3 linked regions of the Oryctolagus cuniculus genome follow. The protein of the gene in region 3 purifies or fractionates together with the protein of the main gene of each other region. This does not show direct contact. Links are inferred from orthologs where the notes say so. Each region holds a gene or a part of one and is shown on either strand. Other genes may lie near its edges.

The links.
Region 1: the proteins of PIP4K2A (region 3) and AHCYL1 purify together in Homo sapiens (co-immunoprecipitation; 3 studies listed by BioGRID and IntAct, counting the BioPlex papers as one, with this or other methods). This does not show direct contact. The link is inferred for Oryctolagus cuniculus from reciprocal best matches to the Homo sapiens genes PIP4K2A and AHCYL1.
Region 2: the proteins of PIP4K2A (region 3) and UBE2H purify together in Homo sapiens (affinity purification with mass spectrometry; 3 studies listed by BioGRID and IntAct, with this or other methods). This does not show direct contact. The link is inferred for Oryctolagus cuniculus from reciprocal best matches to the Homo sapiens genes PIP4K2A and UBE2H.

The regions. Positions count from the first base shown.
Region 1 is NC_091438.1:60,310,973-60,314,616, forward strand, and holds part of AHCYL1 (S-adenosylhomocysteine hydrolase-like protein 1), read right to left. Parts: intron 2,201-3,644; coding exon 2,057-2,200; intron 1,058-2,056; coding exon 957-1,057; intron 527-956; coding exon 424-526; intron 1-423. UniProt on the Homo sapiens protein: Multifaceted cellular regulator which coordinates several essential cellular functions including regulation of epithelial HCO3(-) and fluid secretion, mRNA processing and DNA replication.
Region 2 is NC_091434.1:166,050,310-166,053,953, reverse strand, and holds part of UBE2H (ubiquitin-conjugating enzyme E2 H), read left to right. Parts: intron 1-1,570; coding exon 1,571-1,647; intron 1,648-2,142; coding exon 2,143-2,217; intron 2,218-3,644. UniProt on the Homo sapiens protein: Accepts ubiquitin from the E1 complex and catalyzes its covalent attachment to other proteins. E2 ubiquitin conjugating enzyme that transfers ubiquitin to MAEA, a core component of the CTLH E3 ubiquitin-protein ligase complex.
Region 3 is NC_091444.1:48,947,104-48,951,423, reverse strand, and holds the start of PIP4K2A (phosphatidylinositol 5-phosphate 4-kinase type-2 alpha), read left to right. Parts: upstream 1-1,411; 5' UTR 1,412-1,694; coding exon 1,695-1,838; intron 1,839-4,320. UniProt on the Homo sapiens protein: Catalyzes the phosphorylation of phosphatidylinositol 5-phosphate (PtdIns5P) on the fourth hydroxyl of the myo-inositol ring, to form phosphatidylinositol 4,5-bisphosphate (PtdIns(4,5)P2). Has both ATP- and GTP-dependent kinase activities.

The sequences.
Region 1 (3,644 bases), on a different chromosome or scaffold from region 3:
TGATAACCACTTGGGAGATCTGGAAGAAGCTCCTGGCTCCCAGCTTCAGCCTGGCACAGCACTGGAAGTTGTGGCCATATGGGAAGTGAACCGGCAGAGAGAAGATCTCTCTCTCTTTCTGTCTCTCCCTCTCTGTAATTCTGATTTTCAAATAAATAAATACATCTTTAAAAAGATAAAAGAAAAAAGAACTGAGCATTTCCTCATGTCATTAGACTCTTTTCAAAGATCATTTTAAATGCCTACTTAATACCCCATCATGACTACAGACTTTAATTTTATCATCTATTGTTTTCCTGTTCATTTTTATTACCCCTCAATTCTATAACCATTGGACACAAATGGCCATGCAACGACAATTTCAATACATAAATGTTTAGATCATTACTTTAGGGCAAAGTTGGTGAGAAAAGCTGAACTTACCAGCCTCAGCCAGTGCTGCAGCCACTTCATTCTGCGTTGAGTAGATGTTGCAGGCAGACCAGCGGCACTGGGCCCCCAGGGCACACAGCGTCTCGATCAACACCTGTGTGGATGTGCAGGAAGACAGGGTGAGGAAGAGGCGGGCCATGCAGCAGTGGGCAGCAAACCCCAGTAAGAAAGCAGTATCCATCAACTCTACAGCAAGAGAGTCACAAAAGGCTCTAACCCCAGCCAGGCGGCACACTGGTATTTAACTCTACCCAAGATATATGTTTCTGGAAGTCTCTGTTAATGACTTAACAAAATTTTTATAACCATCCTATTTTTGCCAATCTAGATCTTCCTAAGTCAGGTTTTCTAACAGTTGCTTTACCCACACAAAGTTAGAAAACGCCATTATTGCATAACAGGGCAGTCCCATCTAATAGCATTTAGAGGTTGGCTAGATGGGGAAGGAAAAGCAAGTCTATAAAACCCATTTGCCGCTTTCTTCCCCTCATTAGCAGGAATGCCATCTCTTCTAACAAACTCACCGCTGTCTGGGCTGTGATGTGCGTACAGCCCACTATTTTAGCACCAGCCAAGGGCTTCTCCCCCTGAGCACGTTTCCTGAGTGAAATCAGAGCAGACATGTCTGTGAAAGAACAGAGGATTTGAGCTAGGTCCGCACTTAGCAGCATCATCAGCTCCTGCCCCGGCAACACCTAGGGCTGCTCTGGATCTGCTGAGATAGGGTGAGATGAGGCGGAAGACCGCTAGGTGTGTTTCCATGACGACTGGCAGCCTCACCAGCAGTGCCGTGGACAGTTGTCATGTGTCATTTGCGATTTCTCTCTTCCTCTACTGCTTCAGCTTTATATGCAGAGGACTGAACAGAGAATGAAGCAAATTCTCAAACCTGACCAAAATGGAAAGTGAGTCTCATCATTCATTCAGGAGGAGTGGGAAATAGTTGTGGCACTGGCCAATGGACTCCTACACACAATCATCAGGCCCAAAAAAAAACTTTGCCCTCACTGGAAGCAACGTGGCTTCTGTTTTTCCGTGGTTTACCCTACCCTGTCCATCTGTTTGGTTTCTCTCCTCCTTCTCAGTATAAAACAGGCCTTCAGTGGGAAAACAATCAGAGTACAGGGATCTCAGGGGAGTGGAGTAGGACAGAGAAAGCCAGATCTGAGCACCAGTGACTTTCACTCTGCTCCAGCAGAGGGTGCTCAGGACCAAACAAGACCCCAGGCCACCACATCCTTAGCTTAGCACCCTCCCACATCAGCTGCTGCTTCTGGGAGATCCAGGTCTCTGTGACTGGCAGATGTAGTCAGATCCCCATCAGTGACACCACACAGCCATCCAGGACTTGCTGACTCCGCAGTGTAGATCTCTGAACATGCTGCCACGGCGGGGAGAAACAAACTGCTCTGTGGTAACTATCACGCGCTGAGAACAGGAGGAAGGGAGAACAGAACAAGAGCCCAGAACTCAAGCTCCATGGAGAGAGCGTTCGTCTCAAAGCCCCGCCTTCTGTCTCTTCCCAGGGTCCTTTTGGGCTGGCATTCCAGCCCTGAGTTGTTTGTAAACCCTGAGGCCCAGCAAGGGGGCTGCTCCTGGTCCGCCACCCATGCCCGCTCTTTACCTTGCTCCGCAATCTCGATCTCTCGGCGCCCGAATTCTGCCTGCTTGATGTTCTTCACGCAGAAGTTGCTGCTGCCCTTGGAGTTTGTTTGCTGTTTCTCCCGGGGGGAAACCTCATCATCAGAGCTGTCTGTGTAGGATGCAGCTGGAGCCAGGAAAGAAAGAAGAGGCTAGAAAAACCTCAATGGCCCTAGCTCCCCAGAGTGCAGTCCCCAAGGGAGTGTCCTTAAGCTTCGGCGATCAGCCTTAATTGGAGCTACCTTTGACGTCATTCTCAGCTCTACTCTAGGGACTTTAGAAGGTATGAATGAAGCTGGTGGGTCTTTCGGTGTTGCAGTTCCTTTTCTCACCCTAATGCTACTTTGCTGTCACTACCTGTGGTGCCACAAATCTGCCCCTTGTAGCGATCCCAGACAACAGAGGTAACTCGGTCCCAAGCTGGATGGAACCAGAGCTGGCAAAATTGGAAAAATACCACAGGGCAGAAAAGGAATGCTATTTCTACAGATCCCTGGCCTCAAACTTAAGCACCTTTCAGAATCACACGGAAGGTCTGTTAAAACAGACTGTTAGGCCCCACCAAGCTTTCCACTGAGTCAGCATTTCTAACAAGCTCCCAGGTTCTGCTGGTACTGCTGGTCAGAGGACCCCATACTGAGAGCTGCTAGTAAACGTGAATGTGACTAGACAGTCTTACATCAAGAGTTTACAGCAGGTGTGCACTCAAGGAATGTAGAGAAGGGAAGCCACGACACAAAGGCAAGCTGCTCTGGTTCGACTGCCAGCTCTCAGGAAGTGTGTCGAAATGATCAACTTTAAAAAAACAGCTTCTCATGAAAGCTAAAAATACCCTTCAGAGAGACCTGCAAGCAGATGAACAACATCTATCCCTCACCTCTCGAATCTCCTTCCTCCCTGGATTGAGTATTTTCGTCACCGCTGTTCCTGCAGCCTCTCCCAGACTCCTGCCCAGCTAACCCAACACGACCACCAAGGTCATCCTCCCTGCCGGGACGGCTGACCTGCAGCACTCAGCTGTTTTTAATCGCTCTAACAGGTTTCCATGACACGGCCATCATGATCTTGAAGACTTCCTCGAAGTCTTTTTTACTCCTTCCATCTTTCTCCCTCTTCTAACTTGTTCTTTCAGAAGTAACTTTCCTTCTTTCTTAGCTATAACTAGCCTGCTTACCACTCACACCTCTTTGATCTGTCGCTCCAAGATACCTTATACTTTATGACGACAATGATATTTGGAGTGGTTTCTTGCACACCGACGCCCACACATTTGTTGATTTTGGAGCTAAGCCTATCTATCACTAATGTGCATCTGGTCTATATCAGGTTATCAGGGACACAGGTAAGGTGTGTGTGTGTGTGTGTGTGTGTGTGTGTTAACATTCTAGATACCTCAAGCTCAGTCCTTAAATCTCTTTGCTGAGGTGAATAGCAATCTGGGACCCTGGGCAAGCCTTTAAATCTGTTAACAATGACCGTCAGTTGGACAATGAGCGGGTTGGACCCCCTTCATGTTCCCAAAGTTCTGTATCCTCTTCCACATTCATTTTCTAACATGCCCTCTATGGTTG
Region 2 (3,644 bases), on a different chromosome or scaffold from region 3:
CATCCAAGTGCTTAGATTCGATGCCCTTGCTCTGGCTCCTGATTGCAGCTGGCTGCCAGTGCAGACCCTGGGGGACAGCAGTAGTGACTTCAAGTCCTTGAGTTGCTGCCATCCACGTGGAAGACCTGGGATGTGTTTCTGGCTCCCACTTCTGCGCCCTTCATTGTGGGCCACTTGGGGAATGAGCCAATAGATTGGCGGCTCTCTGTCTCTCACTGCCTCTCAAATTAAAAATCCTGTCAATAGTTATTATTTGGTGGTACCATAAGCAGAAATATAGAACAGATCTTAGGCCGGTAACCCTCTCTTCTGAAAAGGATAGATTTGGCCGGCGCCGCGGCTCACTAGGCTAATCCTCCGCCTAGCGGCGCCGGCACACCGGGTTCTAGTCCCGGTCGGGGCGCCGGATTCTGTCCCGGTTGCCCCTCTTCCAGGCCAGCCCTCTGCTGTGGCCAGGGAGTGCAGTGGAGGATGGCCCAGGTGCTTGGGCCCTGCACCCCATGGGAGACCAGGAAAAGCACCTGGCTCCTGGCTCCTGCCATCGGATCAGCGCGGTGTGCTGGCCGCAGCGCGGCGGCCGCGGCGGCCATTGGAGGGTGAACCAACGGCAAAGGAAGACCTTTCTCTCTGTCTCTCTCTCTCACTGTCCACTCTGCCTGTCAAAAAAAAAATAAATAAATAAAAAATAAAAATGAAAAGGATAGATTTGGTTTCTGTAATTGAATCTTAGTGCTTTCTAAGGTACTAGTACTTGTGAATCTTAGTACTTTCTAAGGGAAGGAAGTCTTGAGGGCAGGCGGGCTTTTGAGGAAGACCACACAGAAGTAGTACCCCTCTTTGCTTAGAGCTCTGGAGTGAAGCACAGCCTAGAGGCACATGGGAAGTGCCACAAAAGAGCATTAGGTTTTTTCAGAAGAACTTGGGGTGGTCGTTTGCCTTTGGCAGTACTGCTTCCAGCACGGGTGCATCACTAGCTAGTCTGAATTGTGCAGCAGAGGAGAGCGTTGTGAGGGCCTGGCAGGTTCATCATGTGGGAGTGCAACATTCCAGTTGAAGCGAATCAGTGTCTGGTGAGGTATTTGAGCTTAGATACAGGGAATACTGGATTGGATTTATGTTAAAGGCTCAGTTGGGGGTAGGTTGGGAAGGAGAGTATGGAGGAGAGCAGCTACAAGTAAGTTCCCGCTTTTCATGTCCCTGTAGGTAAAATGTAGTCTTACAGATTTTACATAGTTAGCCCATTTATTTCTCGGAATTCTAGGAAGTGGTGGTCCCCAGTTTGCAGAGAAAGCACGAAGACTTGGGGAATGAATGTATGTTATTTCTTCTAGACTCTCAAATCCAGTATGTGGCAGTCCTTGAATTTGAGCCCTAGCCCCTCTGAATCCAAAGTTTACTCACTCTTAAGAGTACTTGTTGCATCTTAAACTATGGAATTATTATATATTTTATGTTTGATAACTGTCAATTTTGGCTACCTTTTAAATGGTGTATCTTGGGGGATGGGATGTCATCAGTTTTCTTCCAGGTGTTGTAAAGCCTGTGTAATTTCCTTCACTGTTCACCTTAGCATTGAGAGTAAACACGAGGTTACGATCCTGGGAGGACTCAATGAGTTTGTAGTGAAGTTTTATGGACCACAAGGAAGTAAGTACACGTATTGGTATGTGTTCCTCTGCTACAGTTGTCTCTAAACATTGACTTTTTACAGTCGACTTTTAAACATCTTTATGTGATACTATTAGACATGAATTGTGGATTCTGGTTTGGTTTATGGGTGGTTTCTGGGAAATGTTTTTTGTTTTCATTTGGAGGGAGGCATGAAGGTTTGTTTTTGTTTTTTTGTTTCTTTGTTTTTTTGTTTTTAAGATAGAAGAGAAAAGGACAATAATGTTTAATACTAAACAAGTAAATTTGGGAGAGAGAATGAACCTTGGCTTATCTTCTAACTCCATGTCTTTTAAGCAAAAATATCTTAATCTGAATGTAGGGTACTTTTGGGTTGTAATAGGTCCCTGGCTCTTGAAGGAGCCAATTTGAAAGGTTATCTGAGGAGGCGAGGGTTAATGTTTAACTTACACTGAGGTTTATTTTCTGATTTGGACTCAGTTCTGGTGTTTAACATGTTGGCTTTTATTTCAGCACCGTATGAAGGCGGAGTGTGGAAAGTTAGAGTGGATCTTCCTGATAAATACCCTTTCAAGTCTCCATCTATAGGTACGTGGCTGGTTTTATCTATGAGAAGAAACCCAGCATCTCGTGGGTAATTAACTCCAGAAACAGTGACTTAGCTATGTTCTGTGACTTTGGGGGGGCACTTCCTTGGTGTCATGGAAGACATTCACATTTTCCTTTTCACATAATCACAGTGACAATCTCTAGATTTCTCTCTTTTAGTGTCAAATTAAACCAACGTTAAGGCCCACGGCCCTTTCTGGTTGTGAGCAGTAAAATAATGAACAGTCTTAAATCTGGGTTTGTTGGCACGAATCTATGTAGAATCTATTTTAGTTTTGTCATTTAAAAATCCTCTGTAGATCTTAATTTGTGTTTGTTCTGGGTACAGCTCTGGGTATGTAGCAACGAAATGGTCCTTTTCCTTCGTCTCCATCCGGAATCTTTATATAAAGCCTCTAAACCGCAGAGCCTCAGTGGGGCTGTACGAAGTGGTACTTCTTCCACGCCTTCATCTTCCTTCTGCCTTACCTGGTGATCTTGTTACCTGTTGTCCCTGTTAAGGTACTCGGTGAGAATGGGGGGATTTTAATGTCCCGTGCTACAAAGGTAACATCCAGTTGAAAATTGATACTTTCAAATGTATTAATTATAGAATGGTGATGATTTAATTAATCCAACCTTTTCACTTCAGTCTATACATAGCTTTAAAATATTACAAACTTGTGACCGACTTTAAGTGAGAATAGTAAAATAATATTGGCGTACACTGTGTGTTCAGACGGTCTGAGCAAGCCTCATTTTCAGGGTTGCCAAAGTTAAAAAAACATCTTGCCACTGCCTTAGGCTGCCTTCAGAGCTGGAGTTAGGCCACCCCTTATACCCCCTACTCCCAGCAAAGGGTTATTGTTTGTTTCATTTTAAAGGAAACATTCTGAGCTCTAGGCCTTGATCCCACGCCCCCACATTGCTGTGTGGAGTCAGTGTGCAGAAAAGTTGGGATAGTCACCAAGTTCCAACTAAAAGCAGCAACATCTTCCCCAACATCTAGCTACTTTCTGTGCTGTAGAGTTTTATGCTATAAAAACCCTACAATGCATCTGTAATGGCTGGGGAGCTCTTAGTGCTCATTTGGAAGAATAAACTGGTAATTTCCTTGAGGTTTTCTAAACCTGGTACTTGAGAAAATATTTTGTGGATAATTGAATCAGAAATTTCATCATTGCCACAGGGGCCCCGAGTTTAGAGTTAGGGATGGTGAAACAGACTGGGGGTGTGGAGCCTTTTGCAGAGAGCCCTGAATAAGTCTGCCTCAAACACCTGCATGGTGGGGCAGCCGCCCTTTTCCTAGCTCCTCCCCTGGCAACAGAGTCTAAGTTTCATGCATTTGGAGGGCTGTTGGCAGATTTTATGGTTCCCCAGCCCCAGCTGATCTGTTTCTTAAGGCCACGTCTTCCTCCTATCCAGCT
Region 3 (4,320 bases):
GCCCAAGCACTTGAGCCGTCTTCTGCTGCTTTCTCCAGGCTATTAGCAGGGAGCTGGATTGGAAGTGGAGCAGCAGGGACACAGATGATGCCCATCTGGGATGCAGGCACCGCGGGCTGCGGCTTAATCCCTCATGCCACAACACCTGCCCCTGTTTTGTTTTTTGTTTTTGTTTTTCTTTTTAACCACTAAAAGTGGCGATGGTTGATGCCGGGGGAGCAGGTATCATTTTTGATGGTAGTAAAAAGAAAGTGGAAAAGAACTAGAGAACTCTGGGCCGTCCCTCTGAAGAGCACATGAGGGTGATCCCAGGATCTGCCGCCCCACCCCACGGAAGCTCCTTAAGGAATCCCTCATCCTTTGTCTCCCAAACAGAACCAAGCAGGGTACACCAAGGGCACAGAGCACAGCCCTGTATTGGGGCAGGGTAAAACTGATAATTGGCGACAATGTCACCCCTGAGCTGAGTGAGAGCGAGTACCTGGCATGCGATGAGATGACTGGGGAAGTTACAAAACAGCAGGCTTTTAGATGTACTTGGTAGCCTCAGAGGTGGGCCAGGCACTCCTAGCATAACAGCTAAACGTAGGTACCCATGGAGATGGCGACCAGGTTTCCACGGAGGAAGGTGAGGATACTGTGGCGGGGGGGGGGGCGGGGGGGGCGGGTAGGGATGGTGAGGAACACGCTGCGCTGACGGACTTCAAGAAGGAGGTGCAATTTAGGGGCCGTGTTTCTGGCTAAACCAAGGGCTCTGGAGAGCGATCCAGGGTCCTGCCTGGGGAGCAGCGAGGGCAGGGAATGACAGGGCAGAGTATTAGGTGCGATTCTCCCTCTCGAATGACTCAGGGAGTCTGGGAAAGAGCAAACCCAAAGGGCCAAAAAGGTGAAGGCGCATACGGATTAAGTTCGGTTCAGGGGCACTTTTCAAGGTGGACGTCCACGTGCCAAGATGCTCCGACTTGGCGCTTGGGGAGCCTGGCTCCGCATGCGGCGTTCAGGGTGCACCAGCTCTCCGGGACTCCCGGAACCGTTAAGCAGCGGCTCCCTGAGCCTCCTCGCTTCCCTGGCTCAGGCCTCTGGGGGCTCCCCGCCACCTCCCCGCTCCCAGCGCCTCCCTTCCTCTCCGCTCTCTGGAGAGCAGAGGGGATGCCCAGCGGAGTGCTCACGCTCCCAGCAGCCAACGCTCACCCCGCGGCCTCTTCCGCGTGGCCTGGAGCTGCCTCCCCGAGCTCTCCTGCGCACCGGGGCAGCCGGGCCGCGGGAAGCAGGAGCCGCAGCCGGAGCCCGAGCCGGAGCGCGCAGCCTAACGGTCCGGCGGCCGCGCCCCGCGCCCCGCCTGGCGGCGCCGCAGCTGCTGCCCGCCCGCCCCCTGCGTCATGACGCCGGCGCCCAACGCGGAAGCCGCTCGCGGCGCGCCTGGTCCAGCCGCGGGCTGAGCGCGGAGCCGCGGCGGGCGCGGGAGCCGGGCCGGGGCGCGAGCCGGGCACAGCCTCCCGCCGCAGCTGGGCCGAGCGGGCGGAGCGAGCCGAGTGGGGCCGAGTGCGCCGGCGGCGGCGGCGGCGGCAGGCGGAAGCGGGCACGGCGCGCCGGGGCCGCCGCCGAGGGGATGCGGCTGCCTCCCCGGGCGGGTGTGTAGAGGGCGGGTCCCCGGCCTCGGGAGCGCGGCGGTGGAGGGGACGGAGGCGGCGGCCATGGCGACCCCCGGAAACCTGGGGTCTTCTGTGCTGGCGAGCAAGACCAAGACCAAGAAGAAGCACTTCGTAGCGCAGAAAGTGAAGCTGTTCCGGGCCAGCGACCCGCTGCTCAGCGTCCTGATGTGGGGGGTAAACCACTCGGTAAGGGCTCGGCTGCGGCGCGCGGTCCTCTTCCTCCTCGTTCCCCTCCTCCTCCGGCCGCGGCTGCTGCGGGGCGGGCAGCCGGAACCTGCTGGGTCTCACCCTCCACTTCGGCGCCCCCGGCCCCGGGGCGCGCGCTCTCCCCTCCCGACCACTTGCGCCCCCTTTGGACCTTCGGACCCGGAGCGGCACGAGGGGTCCGGTCTGCGTTTGAGCCCTGCGGCCGGTGCTGGTGCTGCCCGCGGTCCGCTCGCCCGCCCGCAGGGAGGTCCCCGCAGCTTGGGAAGTGGGAAGTTTGTGCGGGGCACGGCTCCGCCTCGCCTGTCAGCGGCTGCTGGGGGCCGAGTCCAGGCCACCGCTCCGGTACCCCCCGCCGCCAGGCAGGTGTACCTGTTCCAGGTTGGGGGCGTCCGGAACCTCCTGCGGGCGGTCGGGAGAGCACGATTTGGGGCAACAGCTTAAGAGCTTAGGTCTCCCCCCCTCCTCTTTAAAGGAAGTATTATTAGACACGAGGAGGCCTTTTGGCAAATTAGAAGCCAGTGCAAGTGTTGCACTGGTGTTCAGCATCTTGGGCCGCTCGTCTCCCGCATCGCGGGCGGAGGAGCCATTGGCGGGGAGTGCGCTCCGCTCACCTCCTCCTGCAGCCGGCCCTAAGCCGCCGCCTGCGGAGGGCGGTCCGGGCGGGGCCCGCTGGAGGGGTCCCGGCGGGCGCGGACGGGGGGTCTTGAGCTGACAGCCTCTGCGCAGGGGCTGTGTTTAAAAGGCTGCAGGAGAACGCCTGGGGAAGCTTTGCGTACGGCCACGGGCGGTGGAAGATGCGCCCCCGCGGGCTATGCGGTTTGCGGTGCGAGGGTCCGAAACAGCCTCCTGCAGATCTTACCGCGAGGAACTCCTGCAGTTTTAATCAACTCAGATGGGGATCAGGAAATGTGATAGGAGCTGTTGGCAGAGCTGCGGAAGTAGAAATAAGACAGCGAATTTTGACCGTGACCTTGCCCACTGCAGTCAGTGGGCATCCGAGGAAAGAGGCAAACTTGCTTTTCGTGCTTTTGATGTCCACGGGTGTCATTGTGTCCTTTTCACCGTGACGGAGAAGGCAGAAAACCACGTTGGTGTTTGAGAGAGCACTCTCGGTTTCACGAAGTTGTTTAAGATGTCTCAGAAGCATCATTGTCCGATTTCTATTCCCCGATGGTGTTGGGGGAAAAGGTGAAACAGTAGCAGGGCTGATTGCGTGGAGTGGCTGTTTTTAACAAAGTTGAGAAATAATTGTTTCTACCAGCTTAATGTGTGATCCGCTTAAGTTCATTTTAACTGAAATACACTTTAAAAAAAAAAAAAAAAAAACAAAACTATCAGAGTTGTAAGATGTTGCAACAGCATACATGCATGGCTGCACCAAAAACTCCCCCAAATTTTATGGGGAAAATGAAACGAATGGTTTCCTATGTAATAAATCTGTAATTTAGAGCTATGTCTAATTTTGTTAAACACTTTTTAAAAAAAATTATGTTGTTAGTTTCTGGGATAGAAACCTGTAATTTACAGAATAGGATGTATGTCTCCTTGTGCTTACTCATATTTATGGGTGTTTTTATCTCTCAGAGTTCTGGTGTTTTGGCCAGGAGATTGTTTGTTTCAAGGTTTAATCTAGTAAAGTAGTGTCAACAGTGTGCTGCCGAAAAAGTGTGCTCCCCAGGAATCAGTCTGAATTCCAGTTTACTTTAGAAAATCTTGCAACTGTGCATGTGTTACTGGGACTGCTTATGTGTTACTGGATTTTATGGTTTGCTACATTTGTTTTATAGTTTCTTGCATTGGAAATATTTCAAAACTACTTAAGGCTTATAATGTATCATCTGTAGGTAGTAAGTTTGGTGTTACTTTTGTCTTCATGAGAAGTGAGTATACATAGCCAGCGGAGTGAGGTTTCCAGGTTTCCATAGGATACAAGCCTATTATTTATATTGGGCACAGGCAGTGCCAGCCACAGTGGGAAAGATTGCTAAAACCCCTCTCATATGTATGTCCAAATATCAGAGATATCTGCCTTCGTATTAAAAGCATCTTTTCCATGAGTTTCTTTTTCAAAATGTCTATTTGTTTTAAATATACTGGTTTTTTGGGGAAGAATACCAGAGTGTATGTAAGGATGAAATTTAAACTCTTAGATACCATGTACTTCTTGTTGATTTAATTTTAGGAGATAATATCTGATAGTAGATACATGTTTTATATGACTTGTGCCCCAAAGTTTACAGTTTAATGTGAGAATAAGGATGTCAGCAATATTAAGAATGAGCAAAAATAGTGCTGGATGTGAATGGGACCCTTGAGAAAGTATAGCTGAAAAGGAATAGATAATTTAAATGTCTTTTCCTACATCTCTAATGTGATCAGAATTAAGATTTGTCATGAATATAGTAGTTCCGTACTTTGAACAGTCATGTGAACTTATCACTGGATATTAGGAAATAACGAC